Styela clava: one gene and its partner. The protein of the gene in region 1 purifies or fractionates together with the protein of each later gene. This does not show direct contact. Links are inferred from orthologs where the notes say so. Each region holds a gene or a part of one and is shown in the gene's direction. Other genes may lie near its edges.

Region 1 (8,824 bases):
CTGTCGCCGTTGTCGCACAGAGTCGTCTGAAATTGTGATTTTCAACCGCTGTGTTCCATGTCGAATTGTTTCTCCTCAATTTTATCTTGTTGCCATATTTGTAGGCCTAATAATAATGAAAGATGAATGAAGTAGAAATCAAAATTCTGAAGCTCGTTTTGAGGCTGCATATATGGTTCGAAATGGGTCTACCGAACACACGCCGCAAGTCTACAAGTGCTTAAATACCGTACTGCTGTCTGGAATACCCCAAACAAAAATGTGATATGAAAATAAATGCCGTATCTGCATAAATAACCCCAACCAAAAATGTGTTGTACCGGTAATAATACAGCCCAAATTTTTAATGTTTTTTTTAATAAAAGTCTCGAACGGAAGGCTATAACCTTTTTGGAATGGGATATACCACCTTAGTTGAAAATTGAGAGGATTATATTTTAACTAAACGTGTCTGTCAAGTATTTCATTCCACGCCAAACATATGAATTTCACATCACATTTCTGTTTGGCGTTTTTTAAGGAGTTAGGTACATCGTTTTACTTGGCTAGACTCCATGAAATTATAACATAATTTATTTAGCAGTTAAGATTTGTCAGTACTGTTAGTTTGTCTAAGTCTAGTCTAGTACAGTAATTTCAACCGCAGACTGGCGTTCCCTGAAATGCCTTAAGGCAGTAAGGTGTTTTTATTCAAATTGCTGAATTGTTGTTCCCCAATTTTTTTTTGTTTTCTAGGCATATTTCATGATAAAAAAGAAACCAAAAGTCAATGAGGCCTGAGGGCATGTTTGATTCTAAGAAAGTATGTTACATATTACTGGAAGTTTCCCCAGGTCTGCACTCTGCAGGTATAAGTTTAGAAATAATTAAAAACTGATTAATGGCACATAAAACCGGGTCTTACTACTTACTGAATACAGCGCGAAACACCGCAAAGAGCGCGAAACAGAGGAAAACAGCGCGAAACAGAAGGAAACCAGCGCAAAACAGAGGGAAACAGCGCAAAACAGGAGACGCAGTCATTACCACCTCCTGCCACGAAAGAACCACGGCGCCTCTCGCCATGGTTTTATGGCGCTATTTCCGGCATATATACAAGGTTATGTACCGGATTATAGGTCATCATGCGAAATTTTATCTACCTTTTTGGTGCTCCAGAAGTATGTGCAGGTGCAGCAATATGTCGCACAACCTGAATCCGTTACACACACACACACATACTATTTTCAGGTTGTGCGCCATCTTGGTGCACATACTTCTGGAGGTCCCTTTTTACCTAACCCTAACCCTAAAGCCAACCATATCCATATGGAAAATGTTCTAAATTATGGTACCCAAAATGTGTCACCAGCAGGGGCAGACCTGCCATTACAGCATTACTGGCTACATATGTTCGTTTGTGTTTTGAATTTGCTGCCGTGGTACTCCAACTCAAAACAAGGTGCTCCGAACTCATTGCAAAATTTTTTTCTGCTTCACACTGTTTCCCTCTGTTTTGCGCTCTTTCGCGCTGTTTCCCCACTGTTTTGCGCTCTTTGCGGTGTTTCGCGCTGTATTCAGTAAGTAGTAAGACCGCATAAAACCAGCCAATATCTGAATGTTTGTTAGTCTGAGTGAGGCCATAGCTGTATAGTTTCAATTGATAATTCTCAGCTTTTTGCTGATTTGGTCATTGTCATCATAATAGACAGAGAGGTTGATGCTCGGGGGAACATTCATTAACAGTGCAAACTCTGAAACCCCACAGTTCTTAAAATTCCAAGATGTCCATACATTTGGTTCAATAAAACAAACACTCTATTTGTCTCTGAAACGAGGGCATCTGGCATGATGACATTTGCGTCAGATTGCGCCAGGCCTCGGTATAGTTAAAAATTTTGTTTTTAAGCTAAATTGTGTTTTTAAGCTAAAAAAATTTCAGTGTAATCCAATGGTGACGTTTGTAGTTTGCACTTTATTTTAGTTCATTACGCAGTGCCAATTTGCCGCTTTGAGTCGATATGGAGGCTGTCTCGTAATAGAGTTGTTGCCGCTGGAAGGCTATTACTTTTAATTTTTTTCAAACATTTTTCTGAGCCCTATGAGAATCGTTTTTAACTTTGAATGAAAATGCCCTTATGCCACCGAGTGACAGAATAAGTTCAATAGTTATCACTCATGACATCGCAATCTGAAAACAACTCATATTAGCGCTATCTGAAAGTGGGATGGTCCTGACAGCCTGAAGGCGCGTGGTGAACATTGGTGTGTGACGATAATAGGGTAACTTATGTTAGGGTATGTGCCCATCTAAGAAAACTTAATACACCATATTAGAATGGCATTACTATTTCTAGCTACAAACTGCCTGTCTTAGATGATTCTTATTTATATTTCGGTGGAAAAATCTTTTAATTTTGTTTTTTTAGCCCTGGATTTGGATTTGTTAGGCATTTGTTCCACTGTGAGCCATTAAGCCATTGCTATTTTTTTGATGTCAAAACTGATCAAGGATAGTAGTTATTCGAAAAGTTTCCATAAAATCTGAAAATTTTTATTTGGGCTATTACAAGCAAATTTGTTCAAAAGTGCAGTGAAAGTAATTGTTTTGTATTTTTTATATCAAATAACACTTGTATTTTATTGGACTGCATTCAGTTCACTGGAAAATTTAAAATTTTACCCAGGTTTTTAATCATTTACACAAAGGGGCCTGAAATGTAGAAATTTTGATAAAATTGACATGTTTTGTGATGACTTGTAACACGAAGTGTTTGTTTGTCTGGTACAGTTATTTCGAATAGATGCACTGGACTTATGTTAATAAAGATTAAGTGTTTGCAGTGCCGTAGGACATGTTTTTACCTATTTAACGATTTATCGGCGCGGCGGTGTGGCTCAACGGGCTGAACTCGCCACCGCACCTCTAATTACTCTGCGTGGGTTCGCAGGTTCGAATCCCATGCAGGGATGGTTATGTGCGAGAGGATTGCTGGACTCCTCGCCGTCGTTGGGTGGTTCACGTAACTGCTGGTCGGTTACGGCTTCCCCCACCACCAAGTCCATGCTTCCGAAAACAAACAATATAACTAATCCCATACCCGACTTGGAATGGTAACCGGACGAGAGGCCGTGGTTCGTCATATGGATAAGCCGTCTTATCGGCTTTCCTCTCCCCGAGATAAATATGTAAATCCTAATCTTATCTTATAACCTGAATTTTAAGAGATGATAGAGGCCGCTGTTCCAAGGTGGAAAAATGCCCTGTAGTGTCACATATAATGTGCACATCATCATTGTAGATCTACAGTGTTACATTGAGTAGTTAACTTAAGTGTGTCATAGCGGGGTCATTCAGTTACTGCGCCAGAAAATATTGAGGGCTCATGCTGTACCATCGCGACAATTTACAACACAATGAAACGTTATTGCGTGGTGGACCTGTCGTCCCGTAGTGCCACGCTATATTTTTACTGTGTTTTTAATGAGTCTTTTATGTAACTTTGGTGCAGTTTTGTTTAAACCCCATAACTCAACTGATTGGGCAATGACACAAAACATGTAGCTGGCAATGTAAAAATATATTGCAAATCACAACATGCAAAATTGTTCCATAGAGTCACCGGGAATAACACATTTGGTGTTCTACAAAACACAACAATGGATCGATATTCGTAAGGGAAAAACTCAAAATCCAGATTAAGAACTAACAGTGTGTTTGTCCTTTCCTAATACTTGTAAGAATAAAAGTCTTTTTCTTGATATCACATTGAAATATCATTGCTATTTTTTGCTACTTGTAGCCTGTCTTGGGTAATTCTCTTTTTGTCTTTGGTAAGCTATTTCAGCATTTTGTGGCTCTAGTTCTGTAATTTGGATAGTTCTCTGTAGCTTTGATTTTAAGAGGGTGGGTGAATGGGTACATGGGCACAAACGCTGGTTACAGCACCTGTTATAAACCTTTCTCTAGATTTTGCCCATTTTCCCGATCTTTTCGTCGCCATTTTCTGTGTATTTTATTTTATTCATGTTCTGTTTTGTAGACAAAAGATCGAAATGAAATCGTATTGTGGGTATTTATCCCCATTGGCTTCAGCAGTATAATAAGTGTTATCGCCAAATATTTCCTATTTATTAAACAAAGTCAGCGGCCAGCTAGAGAGCCAGACTAGTAAAGCCTTGTCATACCATTACCAATGCGTGATATTTAGCATTGATCTTGTATTTGTTAAATGATGCACTTGGAGTTTTGTTTGCAGAGTTAAAATAAAATTTTTAGAATGGCCGGACCACTGTAATTTATATGTTTTGTGTACGACCCTTTGGTGAAAATAGTTGAGTAGCCCTGCTATGGGGTGAATCGCCGTAATTGCTTTTATTTAGTAAGTGCAGCCTGCCGTTACGGCTGTAGTTCGGTACCAATTCAACGTTTATTAAGCTGAGATGAAATTGATTTAGCTCATTAATAGCGAGTTTAACTTCCTTTTGAACAAGTTGCTACACCCCATTGCTTTTGTCTATGAAGAAAGAATAGAAGATTATATTGGCAAGTGAAAAATGAAAGCATAATGGAGCTTTTGATAACATCTATAGTAGTGCTTTCCAAACTTCCCATGTAGGTGATATATTTTGGCGACACATTCTGATTTAATGTTATTGTTATTTAAAATGCTTAACTGAAAAATGTAAACTTACAATTACAACATTTCAATATTTGATTGAATGAATGCAAGATGAATTCTGTCATATTTTATCATTTAGCATTTTCAACCTAGCATGTGCAATTGCCTATTACCATTAAATTTTACCCGAAAACTAACAAACTAGTGTAATAATAAATGCTGAATCCGATCTTTCACTTTGGCACCACACTATAGAAAACAGATCACTGGTGAATCAGTATGTGTCAAGCAACATATGTCTATCAAACAAAATAGCATCGTGGTGCTGTTAGCTCAATGGTAACAATTATCATTAAATGAAAGTAAGGTGTGCAAGCATAATAACCATATCTGTGGTCAGTGACCATTTCAGGCTAACATGTCTAACCATTAGATTTTGATACTTAGCAAAGAATGTTTATTGCATCATAAAAATGAATAAGGAAACTGCATTCCAGAAGACATCCCAATTTTTCAAGCACTGATATTAGTGTCACAAGTTCAAAGATGCACCATTGTAGTACAAGTTGGGAATATAGTTTGCTAAGCTCTTATCTATACAATAACTGAAGTGGGTCCATCAGTTTTTCATAATTTTCTTTTGTGTCAGTTGCTGCCAAACCTTGCCTTTGAACATCAACACAGATTAACCACTGACCGCCCCTCAATGCATGTACCGTAATCAAATATGGTTTGCTATTTAGATATTCGCACTTTAATGAAAAATGATATGACACTCATATTTTCTGAGCATGATATTTCAATATTACCTGTAAGAATATATCTAATTCATAGCTGATACTGATAGCCAGATGAAAATATATTGACAGGCAATCCGTGCATGCCCACTTTAGCACTTACTCTTGTTATGATCATAATTTTATCTTGTACTGAAATGCAGTATATTATTTATTAACCACACTGTTGCTTATAATAACCCTCAGAAATACTTGCTTATCTTAGTGATAGAGATTCATACCATTCAATACTGATACTGATATTCATCTGTATTTTATCTTATTTATTTATGAAATTTTATAGCATATTATGGAATGAATCATAATTAAGCAGTTATTTAAAGAAATTTTTGAATTTCTGCACAGTGCACTTCAGAGGAAACAGTTGTACATCTTGAGTTTTTTGTGACTTTCTAACAGAACATAAGTTCTACATTGACTTAACAATTTCTGTGGTGGTGATCTCAGGGAATTTGCGCATTGAATGCTGGTAATTTTCTACAAATTTATCGCCCCTGTGGAACAGATTTGAATAATGGCGAACGTTATGCCACCAACTAATCAGCATATGCCCTCATCAGGGCACAAATATTCTGCTGGTAATGGACCAAGCAGACAACCTTCTGCAAACTCAGTTCAAGGTTCTCGTCAACAGAACAATAAGCCTGTTGCTAACTCTCACCCTCAATCTGGCAAAGTTGGGTAAGCAGGATTTTTTCAACTTTGTTTTTCAGGAAATAGGTTTGATTCTATATCGCTACTTGCTTATTGCCTTGGACAGTAGTCTGTGGTTGATAGTATGTATGCAGTTGCAGTTGACAATCATTGACTAATTCAGTTAATAAATGGATAAATATATATATCCATATTTGTTTTGATAAATATCAGCTTAAAGCGAAGTCACAAAGAATACACTATAAACAAAATTATTATTATGATTGAACAAAGCATACTATTGAATGATTTTATGCCGGAATCGTCTCTAAATATTTAAAATCTAATGTTATGTTACATTAACATTCTCAAAAAAATTCAAAATTTTTCACCCTGTACTTTGAATTCATTCGAAATTAGATCGTGATTTAGCAAAAATAGTGCGCAGGAATCCAAAGAAGGTGTCTGTTTTACAATTTTTTTTTGTTTGTTCAAGAAAAAAACATAGGCTTATTATCTTGTATGATTTCAGTACTTAAAATGGAAGACATTCTTCGGTGTTCTTAAAATCAAATTTATTCTAATATTCAATTCATTTCATATGTATTCCTTTACATCTAATTTTGTAATTGGAATGGGTAAATTTATACATACCTTTGTCAGAAACTGATACCAAAAATATCGAAAAAAATTGATTATTCGACAGGATTAAAAATGGAAATGTATTATTTTGGGATTTCATATTGAAAGACTATAGGCCAAAAACTTGTCATACAATGCACATAACTAGACATGGCTACCTGCAGAATAATGTTGAAATGCTTATGAATGCAAGCTTTGGCCTGATAACATTTGCTAGTTATATTGGTTAACGGATTGTCATTCATTTGTTTCCAAACTTGCTTATTTATTTACATTAGGGAAGGAGAAGATTGGAAATCAAATTTACATTTGCCACCAAAAGACAGAAGAAAGAAAACTACTGTAAGTGCACTAACAATTGATGATTACACATTCGACAAGTATTTTACCTGTTTACATTTAATCGAAAGAAGAATGTTTCTTGAGAGACTTTTACATGATTGCCATTGCGAAGTTCTCATTACTTTACTTTATATGCCAGGACGTTACAGCGACTAAAGGAAATGAATTTGAAGACTTCTGTCTCCAGCGAGAATTATTGATGGGTATTTTTGAAAAAGGCTGGGAGAAACCTTCACCCATTCAGGAAGAAAGCATTCCTATCGCATTATCTGGTGAGATATTAGAATAAATAATCTTAATAGAATTTTTATCTAACTCTGTGGTTTCTACTTTTTTATCTCTTAAGAAATTGCTTTACACTTTGAGTGATAATAAATTTCATGTGAAGGATAAACCTATTTTTCGGCATCTATAACATTGTTGTATGTTGTTAGTTGATATAGTATAAGATACATACCTAAAATATATATTCAAATTAATTAAAACTTGAAATTATAATATTAGAGCCCAGTAACAGAGTGATAAGGAAATGACTAAAATATGACAGGTTATACTGTGTAACAGTATGAAATGTTTTAGAATTGGCTCGTAAAGATCTACCGTATATATTTATATGTACCAGTATATTTTTTTTGTGCTAAATTTACTAACTTCATTTGTCTTATTAGTAATCTGTTCAAATTGGTTCCAATGAATATATCAAGTCAGAATGTCTTTATTTGTGTATTCACTGTCATTCCAGGTCGAGATATTTTAGCAAGAGCTAAAAATGGCACTGGAAAATCTGGTGCCTATCTGATTCCTTTGTTGGAAAAATGTGATATGTCTAAAGATTATGTTCAAGGTAACACATAATTTATATTGCAATGTATATTTGTAAACAGGATATAATCTAATGATAGCCTAAATTAGTTTAAACTATAACATAAAACAGTATTTGTAGTTTCATTTGTTCCATTCGCTCTTGAAAAACTGAAATTTTGGTTGTAGATAATGATGTACTCTTGCTGATTGATAACAAGATAGGTTGTACTCTTGACTGGAATATACATGCAACAATAGTATTATGGTTTCATATTTATTTTGATTTTATTAATTTTATTTTACTATTTACTAGTGTCGAATGGTTTGCTGCTGTATGTGCAGTAATATCTGTAATTGACATTCTTAAAGCTTGTTCATATTTCGATTAAATGCATTGCTCAAAAAGTTGATCTCTATATTTTTGATACTGATAAAACAATAGCAGTATTATGTTCTCATCTATAGGCCATTACAATTCAATATTTAACATACTTGGTTTACTTAGGTATTGGTCATTTTTTGTTTACAAATGACAAAGCTTTCTTTTATGTTATACTAGCCATGGTTTTGGTGCCAACACGTGAACTGGCATTGCAAACATCACAAATTGCCATTGAAATGAGCAGGCACATGGGAAATTTAAATGTGATGGCCACAACTGGAGGAACCAACTTAAGAGATGATATTCTCAGACTTGAAAGCAATGGTAAGATCTTTTGGATAAGTAAAAATTTAGTTATAATATTAGTTCATCTATACTGTATATAAAAAGACTTTCCTTGCAACTCTTTGATCAAGCTGTGCAGAAAATATACCTTTTTCCTTTTGTCCCAAATCTCAAGAAACCAATAGGTACTTAACCTTTTTGATGAATTCCTCCCTTTGCCTAATTTGAGATTTTTCATACCTCTAACCTCCTCACTATTGCATAAAAACTCTATTGACGATTATAATCTTTACGTAACAGAATTTATTTTGAGACACGTGTAGACTAAATTATATTAT
Region 2 (8,821 bases), on another chromosome or scaffold:
TGTTACGCTGCATTCGTAGATAATGAATTTACAAGAAGATGTTAATCAGTGAAGAACATCAGACTTCTTATACCTGAGATAGCGTTATAGATTGAGAATTCTGTGGTGTTGTCGCTGGACTTGTGGTAGATACTTTACTGACAGCAACCGTCTGAAAAGTAATGTTTTGGTGAAAAAAAGATTCAGATCAAAATATTTATGATCAGTACATGATAAGAAAAATATAAAACAAAGTCTTGCAGACAAAGACAGTAGATAATGCTGTATATTGGTAACTATTAGAGACTCATTATGGCAGAATCCACTCTAAGTGCAAATTGCTAAGAAACAATTGAAGTTTCATGCAATAAGTGGTGAATTCTGTGAGATCAGGGGTGTCCGAAAACAAATGGAGTATTAGAATGCATTTGAACTTGGTAGGACACAGATGAGCTAATTAACAAATTTAACTTCTATTAACAGTCTGAGTGATTTTCACTGTAGACATGGCCCATTTCAGAACGTATTCGGTATTCCATATTTGGAAATATTATTTCAGAATGGTAAATTATTGGGTTTTAGACAACATATTATATCATCTGGGCATAAAATCACAAATAATTAATAAATCTTATTAATATAATCAATCAAAAAAGAAAAATCATTATTATTATTAATAAACAAAGATATGCCATGATTTCACAATGTATTAATGGAAAGGAAGATATTACAGACGAGTTACTGATACTGGGCATAAAATAAATATAACTTGAAAAACTTTGTGAAAAATACATTCCATACTTACTTGCTTAGCAGCAACAGCTTTAAGGTTAATTGAATTTGTAACTGGAACCACTGTTCTTGCTACCACCTGACCAGCTGTTGTTGCAGTTATCTTAATAGAAAAATGGAATCAATAGATTTTTTCATCCTTTATTCTGTTGAGCCTGGCTTTGACTTTTTTTGTAAGAAGACGATATGAAACAAATTGTCAAAAGAATGGAATGGAAATTAGCAATAAAAAGTTGCTCGATTGTGTTTCATACGATAAAAGCAAATTTACATAATCGTGGTAAGATTTTGATTTGTGCAAAACATTTGCAGAATAAAACATACAGAAATGTTTACAAAAAATTTGAGGCAGGTGTTTTCAAAATTCCCTTATTGGGTAGAAAGAGTACATGTACCATTTTGCTAACTATTGTAATTGTTGTTTTCTTGCAACTAATAGACCTAATAAAATCATATTTCAGTACTTCAATGTGGAATAAGTCCCTAGGAGGCTATTACTTCTATTTTGCTCAAATTTTGTCCTACTCAAAATTTTGCTGTTTTTTTTCCAATTCACAGAAATACTGTTATATGACATCTGTGAAACACCTACAATTACTAAAAAAAAATGTCAGAAATTTTGCTAAAATTCCAGTATTCATTTAAAATCTGGGCACTTATAATTGATCTTTGCTTTGTTATCAACTTTAATACTTACTGCGGGTTGAGGTGATGATGTCCCAACACCTGCTGTTGTCGAATTTTTCAACGTTGTTACGGTCCCAGATGTTGCGGTCTGAGTTACAGGAACTGTGGATGTATTTGTAGTAGATGACGATGACAACGAATTACTACTCACAAGCAGCAACTGTCCATTCTGATGTCTTGCTAGAACCATACCTGTATACGGTTGGAATCAAAAGTAATATGGGAAATCAGCGAAAAGCACAGATCATTCATCATACAGGAAGTAAATCAAGAAAAAAGCTCCATCAAACCATATAACCAGCGTGTAGATAGGCTCAGCATGTTCACTAACAGCCCTGTATCGATGCTCAACAACTTTCAATCAGTTCCACATTCGAGGGCTTATGATATTGTGTGGAACATAACTCTTTATATAGGAATGTAATGCTTGATAGTAAAATACAGTTCACTTAATTGAAAAAATAAGAAAAGGGGACATATTAACTTTCAGTATATATAGCTAAGCCTGTTCCAGGGGGTTTTGATCCCTTTTGCCACATCCAACTTGTATTAGACTGGTTTTCTGTCGCTGTAATATTCAAGCTTGAATAATGATGGAAAATTATCGTGGTGAAACAGTACAGCTAAGGACATGTGCATGAAAACAAGCTTCATGTATCGTAATAGTTAAGTTTGAATATATTTTAAAACTTTTAATTTTATTATTTAAGTTTGAAAAAAATAAATTCTTCATCCACTGCATTGTCGTATTAAAAACTTAGGAACCTTTGACCCAATAACAATAGTCCATGAGAGTTTCCAGTACATAATTATGTACCATTGTGACTGCATAGCGTATGAAAAAGGAATTAGATAAAAAGTAGAAATCAAATTAACCTGGAGGAATAGTTATCCCAGATGCTAGTTGCACTGCACCACCTTGTTGAGGACGCGCAGTCACCATTGGCTGAGTCGTAGAAACTTGAGCCTTCGATGTAGGATTCAATAAATTATTTTGCAAACCAGTATTTGATTGCTGCATTCCTGGTTGTGGAATTTTATTTACTGTGGTCAGAGTCGTTAATTGTTTTGCCACAGGTGTGGATGCTTTAGGCAACTGTGAATTTAAAACTAGGGTCGGCTGTTGTGGGGTTGGGGCCCCATAGCCCTCATTTAGACCTGTTGACCAGTCATTAAGCATCCCTTGCTGCTGAGAGGTGACCGGGCTAGCAGTCCTGACCTGCTGTACTCCGTTTTTTGCTGCAGAAAATGGAGGTAAACTATTCATTCCAGAATTATAGCTGTTCAACGTGTTTGGGGTACTTGATGAAGATGTGAGAACTGTGTCCGTCGATCCAGGTGGGCTAACCCTCATTGCATTGAACAAAACAGCTTAGATCTATACATCACCTTGAAAAAATATATTTAGAATTAATTTTTGACTACGATTGCAAGTTCTTAAAATAAATCTTTGCATTGAGATCTGGATTAGAATCTCTCGAAAAAGACCTTAGTCATTTAATCGCAATCCCACAGAGAGAAATAAAAAAGTTGCATTTATTTGTGGAATTGTAAAGGTGCAATAAACTTGATATATACATGAGTAAATGACTGAGCGATGCGGTGTTTGGCGCAGCGGTGTGGCTCAACGAGCTAAGCGTTAGGAATACGCTAGCCACCGCACCTCTAATTACTCTGCGTGGGTTCGCAGGTTCGAATCCCATGCAGGGATGGTTATGTGCGAGAGGATTGCTGGACTCCTCGCCGTCGTTGGGTAGTTCACGTAACCGCTGGTCGGTTACGGCTTCCTCCACCACCAGGTCCATGCTTCCGAAAACAAACAATATAACTAATTCCATACCCGACTTTGAATGGTAACCGGACGAGAGGCCGTGGTTCGACATATGGATAAGCCGTCTTTCCTCTCCCCCGGGATAAATATATAAATTCTATCCTATCTATTACTTGTGTGGGTCTGGTATAGCTTAGTACCACATGCACTTCTAGTTGGTCTGGCTCAACAATTTTTGAATGTCATTCCCAATCCCCGCCTGACTGCGTCACCAAAAAAATCTGTCACAGTGGCTTAAAAGTCCCTACAAAGTATGCGGAACGCGCAGACGATCACTCAAAATCAAGCAAGCTATCCATCATGTTTTCTCGCCACAACGATCACGCTATGAGAGAGATCGCGGGCGTTAGTGAGTTCATTATGGGCGGCGCAGATGACATTTCGGGTGATTGTAACTGTACTTTGGCAAGCTCCATTATGTGATTGTGACGTCGTAGTGATGTAATTTTTGGATGGTATAGTCAGGTGGGGATTAGGAATAACATACGCAAATTTCGTTATGTTACGCCCACTGGAAGTTCTTGTGGTACTAAACTATACTAGACCCGTTAAGTGCAATGCTACCACATGCTATGCTCGATCCAAACCTGAGGGGTTTGACAGACAGATCGGGCAAATTAAAAATACCCCAATAGAGCAATATGATATGAAAAATTAACAATATTAACAAGTCTAAAAGTGGTTTTAGACAATACCATATCGGTATGACTGCACTGCTATACATAACCATTATACTAGATAGGCTACACCCTTACATAAAAGTATTCTTCATACTGCAGTACTGTCATAATTGAACAGATATTTCCTGATTTCTGTAGTTTCATATGCCTATCTGTATATTCAGATATTAAATACTGGTCGTGCAATAGGTCACTATCACCCAGATATGTTACCCAATACTTGTATTATCTTGTACCTTGGTACTTGATTGTTGTGCTCTGTCAAACAACAACATGTCAAGAATCCTATATCACAAGACACTTCTTTTGCATTACACAGTTACAGGATTATTAAAAGAAATGCTGAAAGTTGATGTATAAACGACTGACAATAATATTCGAAACAGGTCAAGCACCCTTTACAACTATAAACATATCAGTAAAAAAATGTATTTAGCAACTAACTATATGATCGTTCAGTGGGCCATTAGCTCCACCAACTCACAACTCCCAAATGCACACCTCGAAACCTCGGGCGCGAATGAAGCGCAGCGACCCGTTGGGCGCCATCACTACTCCACGGCCTTCACAACAAGAATGAAGTGCGCATGCGTCATCATTTTCCGATTCAAGGGAATGGATCGTGTTTTAAAATGAAGTACGGTCATATGAAAAATTAAAAACATTGTATTATGAATTTTTTTTTTAATTTTTATTGTATTGCAAATGTAAATTTATGTTATACAACAATCTTTTTAATCGAATAAACAAATATCAGTGTATTTACGTTATAAAACAAGTCTCCGCTGACACCCCCTTCATATATAACAAGTGGTTCACACCGCGGTCCTCAAATTTTGCTTTTTTCTTTTTCTCTCATTTTCATTTTTCATTATATCACAGAAAAAAGAAAAAATGGATTTTCAGACGAACACTAGAGCGCGATTAAGAGCAACGCGTCATACAATCTGAACGCGGGTCATGAAGTGTTTTCATGCCTTATCCGTTGTCGCTATTTCAAATTGGTAGGAAATCAAACTGTTAGTTATCGTTTCTTTCTTGTTAATTTACACGAGGCAGGACTTTTCTCTGAGATTTAATATACTCGGAATAGTATCAATGGTAATACAGCTTTAATGAAAACAAGCTCTGAAGTTATTTGGCTATCCGTGTCAGGTGGTGTCACATTGGTTATTTGCTTTTTAAATACCGTAGTGGGATGTGATATTTGCTGTTCAGCAGTGCAAATTGGGAAATCATTGTTTATCTCAAACTTAGTTTGTTAGTTCTTAATGGACTGCAGCACATATGTAGACTGGATTTGTAAATAAAAAAATGTACCATAATGACAGAGTTTGGAAATAAAAACCTGTCTCTCTCGTTCTCTTGGAAATCTTTTATGTCTGTATGTGCAGATACTGAGATGTGTTTGGTAACTCTTAAAAACTATAAAAATATTTCATAATTTTTACCTCCTAGTTTTTTGGCGATATGAGTTGTGGAACTCCATATATCGGCAGTAGGATTAGTTTGATATCAAAGGCAAAAATCCGTTATGAAGGAATTTTGTTCACGATTGATGCTGAAAATGCTACAGTTGCTCTGGCAAAAGGTATATTTTACGTTTCCTTATAAATTTGTCAATTTATGATGTTCGTTACACAATTTATTTATTCGAGTTTTATTATAAATTTTACTTGAGGAATATTGATTATATGTAGCAAAAATTTATATATTGTATAAATTAAACTGCAAAATATTATACTTCCTGACTTCATAATAATATACATTATATTATTGAATTGATAATAAGGATGATTAATATTATATTTTTGAAGTCTTGAAAATCTGGTCTAGGTATTGCAGACAAAATGCTGATGCCAAAAACTGAAATATACCATGCTTTCCATTGTGGTAATAGGCTTTACCACAGATTTCACTTAAATTTATGGAAGATACAAAGCAAAATATACCTGCATTCCGGCTACCAGCTGCCTCATTCTAACTTGAAAAAACAAGCCTAATTATTATATTCGCTATTCCAGATAAAAGGAATATTAATGCTGTGATATATCAGTCAATTCATCAATTTTAGTTAAAATGAAGCATAATCATAGTTTCCCAATTTTGCACCATTTTTTATTATCTTGTATTATGCATATGTCAGTTAATTGAGTATTATTATTAGAGTTTTTACCGATATATAATGCTTGGCACAATTTTCCAAGAAAAAACTTATTTTATTCCATTTACAGTTCGATCATTTGGCACAGAAGATCGGCAGACCGAATGTGTAGTCCCTCCACGAGATGATTTATATGAATATATTATATTTCGTGGAAGCGACATAGAAGATCTGACAGTATGTGAACCTCCGAAGCCACAGCAGCCACCAACGACTTCTTTGCCACAAGATCCTGCTATTGTACAGGTGAAATGAATTTTATCTGCTTCAAAGTAAATACAAGTTTCAGAGTGGAACGAGTCTTTAACTCGAAACAAGTTGGATATAATATAATTTGATAATGCAGATTAGTTGGAAATGTTCTTTTTCAAATTTTTTATTTTTATAGTACAAGAACTTTAATGGAATTTATTTTTTGTCTGAACATCAGATGGCAAATACTTGAAAATGTCAAATTTTCAAGTGAAACTATCCTAAATCATTTATTATATCAAATAGAACTAATTTAGTATATATTTCATTTATTTTGGACCCTGTTCTTATAATTCTAACATGAAACAATTTTGACTTCCTGTCTCTTTCCAGCCAAGTGTATTGTATATTACCACCACTATCATGTCACTGCACTAGATAAAAATTTAGCACATGGAATTACACCCAAAAGTTATTGTTTCTAGATATATTTATTTTTTAGTCTTGTATAATAGAGCAAATCAAATTTTTTGCTGTAATGACATTTTCAATCAAATGACGACTTATTTTTGTGAATTTATGGTAATTATATATTGTTCCTCGACTTGAAGTCTACGTAATAGATATATGATATAGGCCTATCCTATATATAATTTATAGCTTTTCTTTGCATTTACCTTTGTTTCCTCTTACAGTCTGTTGTGACATCTCAGCATTCTGGAATGCCTCCTAATGCACCAACTCATATGCCGCCACCATACATGCCACCGTATGGATATGGAATGCCTCCGTACAACATGGTCCCACCCCCAAACCAACCACCGCATATGCCATCCGGTCCACCACCACCTGTTGGCCTACCTAGATCTGCACATCCACAGCCTGGTGCTGCCCAACAGAAGCCTCTCCTACAAGGTAACCATTGTTTATTTTTTTAAATAAGATAACTTCCTCACAAGGGTGTCGCACATGTGCGCTCAGGTGTAATGTAGACACATCTCAGAGCGAATTTATGGGCACAAAAACTCTTAAGATCTGCTATTACTATTTAGAATTAGGATAGCACATTACTCCAGGTCTATGAAATATGGCACGTTTCCATTTTCAAGCCGGAGTCTGTGTCATATTTTCAAACTCTCTCCGCTAGTCGACAGATAGGAACTGAAATTTTAAATTTTTGTGATACTCACAAATTTTGGTGGCAGTAATCGAGGTCAAGCAAGATATGTGATGAAACCCAAAAGCATTGAGTGGACTGATAATTAAAGAAGGCTTGCATATGCCAAACTTTTGTAATCAAAATTTGATTTTCTTTTACTTTAATTCTAAAGAATACTTAGTTTTATCTCCGGCAGTTTGAGATAACAAGTTGTGTTTTATTTTAGGCCTCTCATTAATCATTCTACTTTTTTTTAACAAAATCCAGGTGCTAAATCTGCTTCACCTGTATCACTTGGTAGAATTTCTCCGACATCAGATCAGGGAATTCAAACTGGAAGTCCACTAGCTCAGAATAATGCAGACAGGTGTGTGATTACTAAAATATGATTGCACTATTCGTTTTATTACATAGAGCAGGGGTGGACAAGGTTTTCGAACCAGGTGCCAAAAATTTTGCCCACTTAGACTTGCCGACCATGTAAGTGTGATGTAAGAAGTTACATTTTATGAACAATATTTACAGTGTCTTATGAAGCAAAGGTGGAAAACAATCAGCTTCGTGCCAAAACTTAATTTAACCGCAATCTCAACAAATTCCTTGATCTATTTTAGCTGAAACATCAAAATTTGGTTTTAGTTTGGTTGTGGCAGCATCAGGTGGGCCAGATTGAATTACCCAACGTGCCGGATTTGGCCTGTGGGCCGTACTTGGTCAGTGAAGGTCCACTTTCTAGTTATTTTGGTTTAACAAACTTTTTGTTTTACGTAGCCGTTCGTATGAGAAGCGTAGAGATTTTTATGATCAAGATAATTCGCGTAATAACGAGGGATCAAGAAATTCATACGATAATCGGAACAGGAACCAACAAAGAAATAACAACTGGAGAGGAAAAAATGATTTTCATCGAGGTTTGTGAAATCATACCCCCACGAATATTTGAGTACTGATTGGTGTTGTCAATTTCTGCTGATTTGATAAATATTCTTCTCTCTTCTATTGTTTCTGATGTTTTGTTCAAAATTGATTTGGATTTATTCTACCTTATATCACATCAACTTTATATATGTGTTATGCAAATTCTTGTGAAATGTCGGCAAGATTTCTGTATTTTTGTCTGCTTCATTTCAACACGATACATATTACTAGTAAAAGCCCGAAACCCACCTGATTAACTAAATCTCATACCAGCCTAAAGACAATGAATTCGCTTATCAATGTTTCAGTCAGCCATTGTTTATTTTTTCTTTCAATTTCAACATGTTATATGTGCAACAGAAACAGTTCAGCTCAGCTTTTTCACAGATTTCATCATGAATTTATAAATATTTATTCAT

Evidence for each region. The genes of interacting proteins can lie anywhere in the genome.
Region 2: the proteins of putative ATP-dependent RNA helicase DDX6 (region 1) and protein LSM14 homolog B-like purify together in Caenorhabditis elegans (affinity purification with mass spectrometry; 3 studies listed by BioGRID, with this or other methods). This does not show direct contact. The link is inferred for Styela clava from reciprocal best matches to the Caenorhabditis elegans genes cgh-1 and car-1.

Annotation. Positions count from the first base shown.
Region 1 is NC_135253.1:748,173-756,996, forward strand, and holds the start of putative ATP-dependent RNA helicase DDX6, read left to right. Parts: upstream 1-5,659; 5' UTR 5,660-5,912; coding exon 5,913-6,079; intron 6,080-6,951; coding exon 6,952-7,015; intron 7,016-7,154; coding exon 7,155-7,287; intron 7,288-7,757; coding exon 7,758-7,859; intron 7,860-8,378; coding exon 8,379-8,525; intron 8,526-8,824. UniProt on the Caenorhabditis elegans protein: Probable RNA helicase required for oocyte and sperm function. Also required to prevent the physiological germline apoptosis mechanism killing essentially all developing oocytes.
Region 2 is NC_135262.1:5,623,147-5,631,967, forward strand, and holds the start of protein LSM14 homolog B-like, read left to right. Parts: upstream 1-5,427; 5' UTR 5,428-5,439; coding exon 5,440-5,560; intron 5,561-6,203; coding exon 6,204-6,379; intron 6,380-7,020; coding exon 7,021-7,240; intron 7,241-7,751; coding exon 7,752-7,851; intron 7,852-8,255; coding exon 8,256-8,395; intron 8,396-8,821. Other genes in the region: transcription initiation factor TFIID subunit 4-like, read right to left, coding at 74-151, 785-874, 1,469-1,650, 2,335-2,812. UniProt on the Caenorhabditis elegans protein: Transcriptional regulator. Involved in modulating embryonic expression of ATP-dependent chaperone cdc-48.1. May play a role in mRNA gene silencing, and RNA granule (P-body) assembly.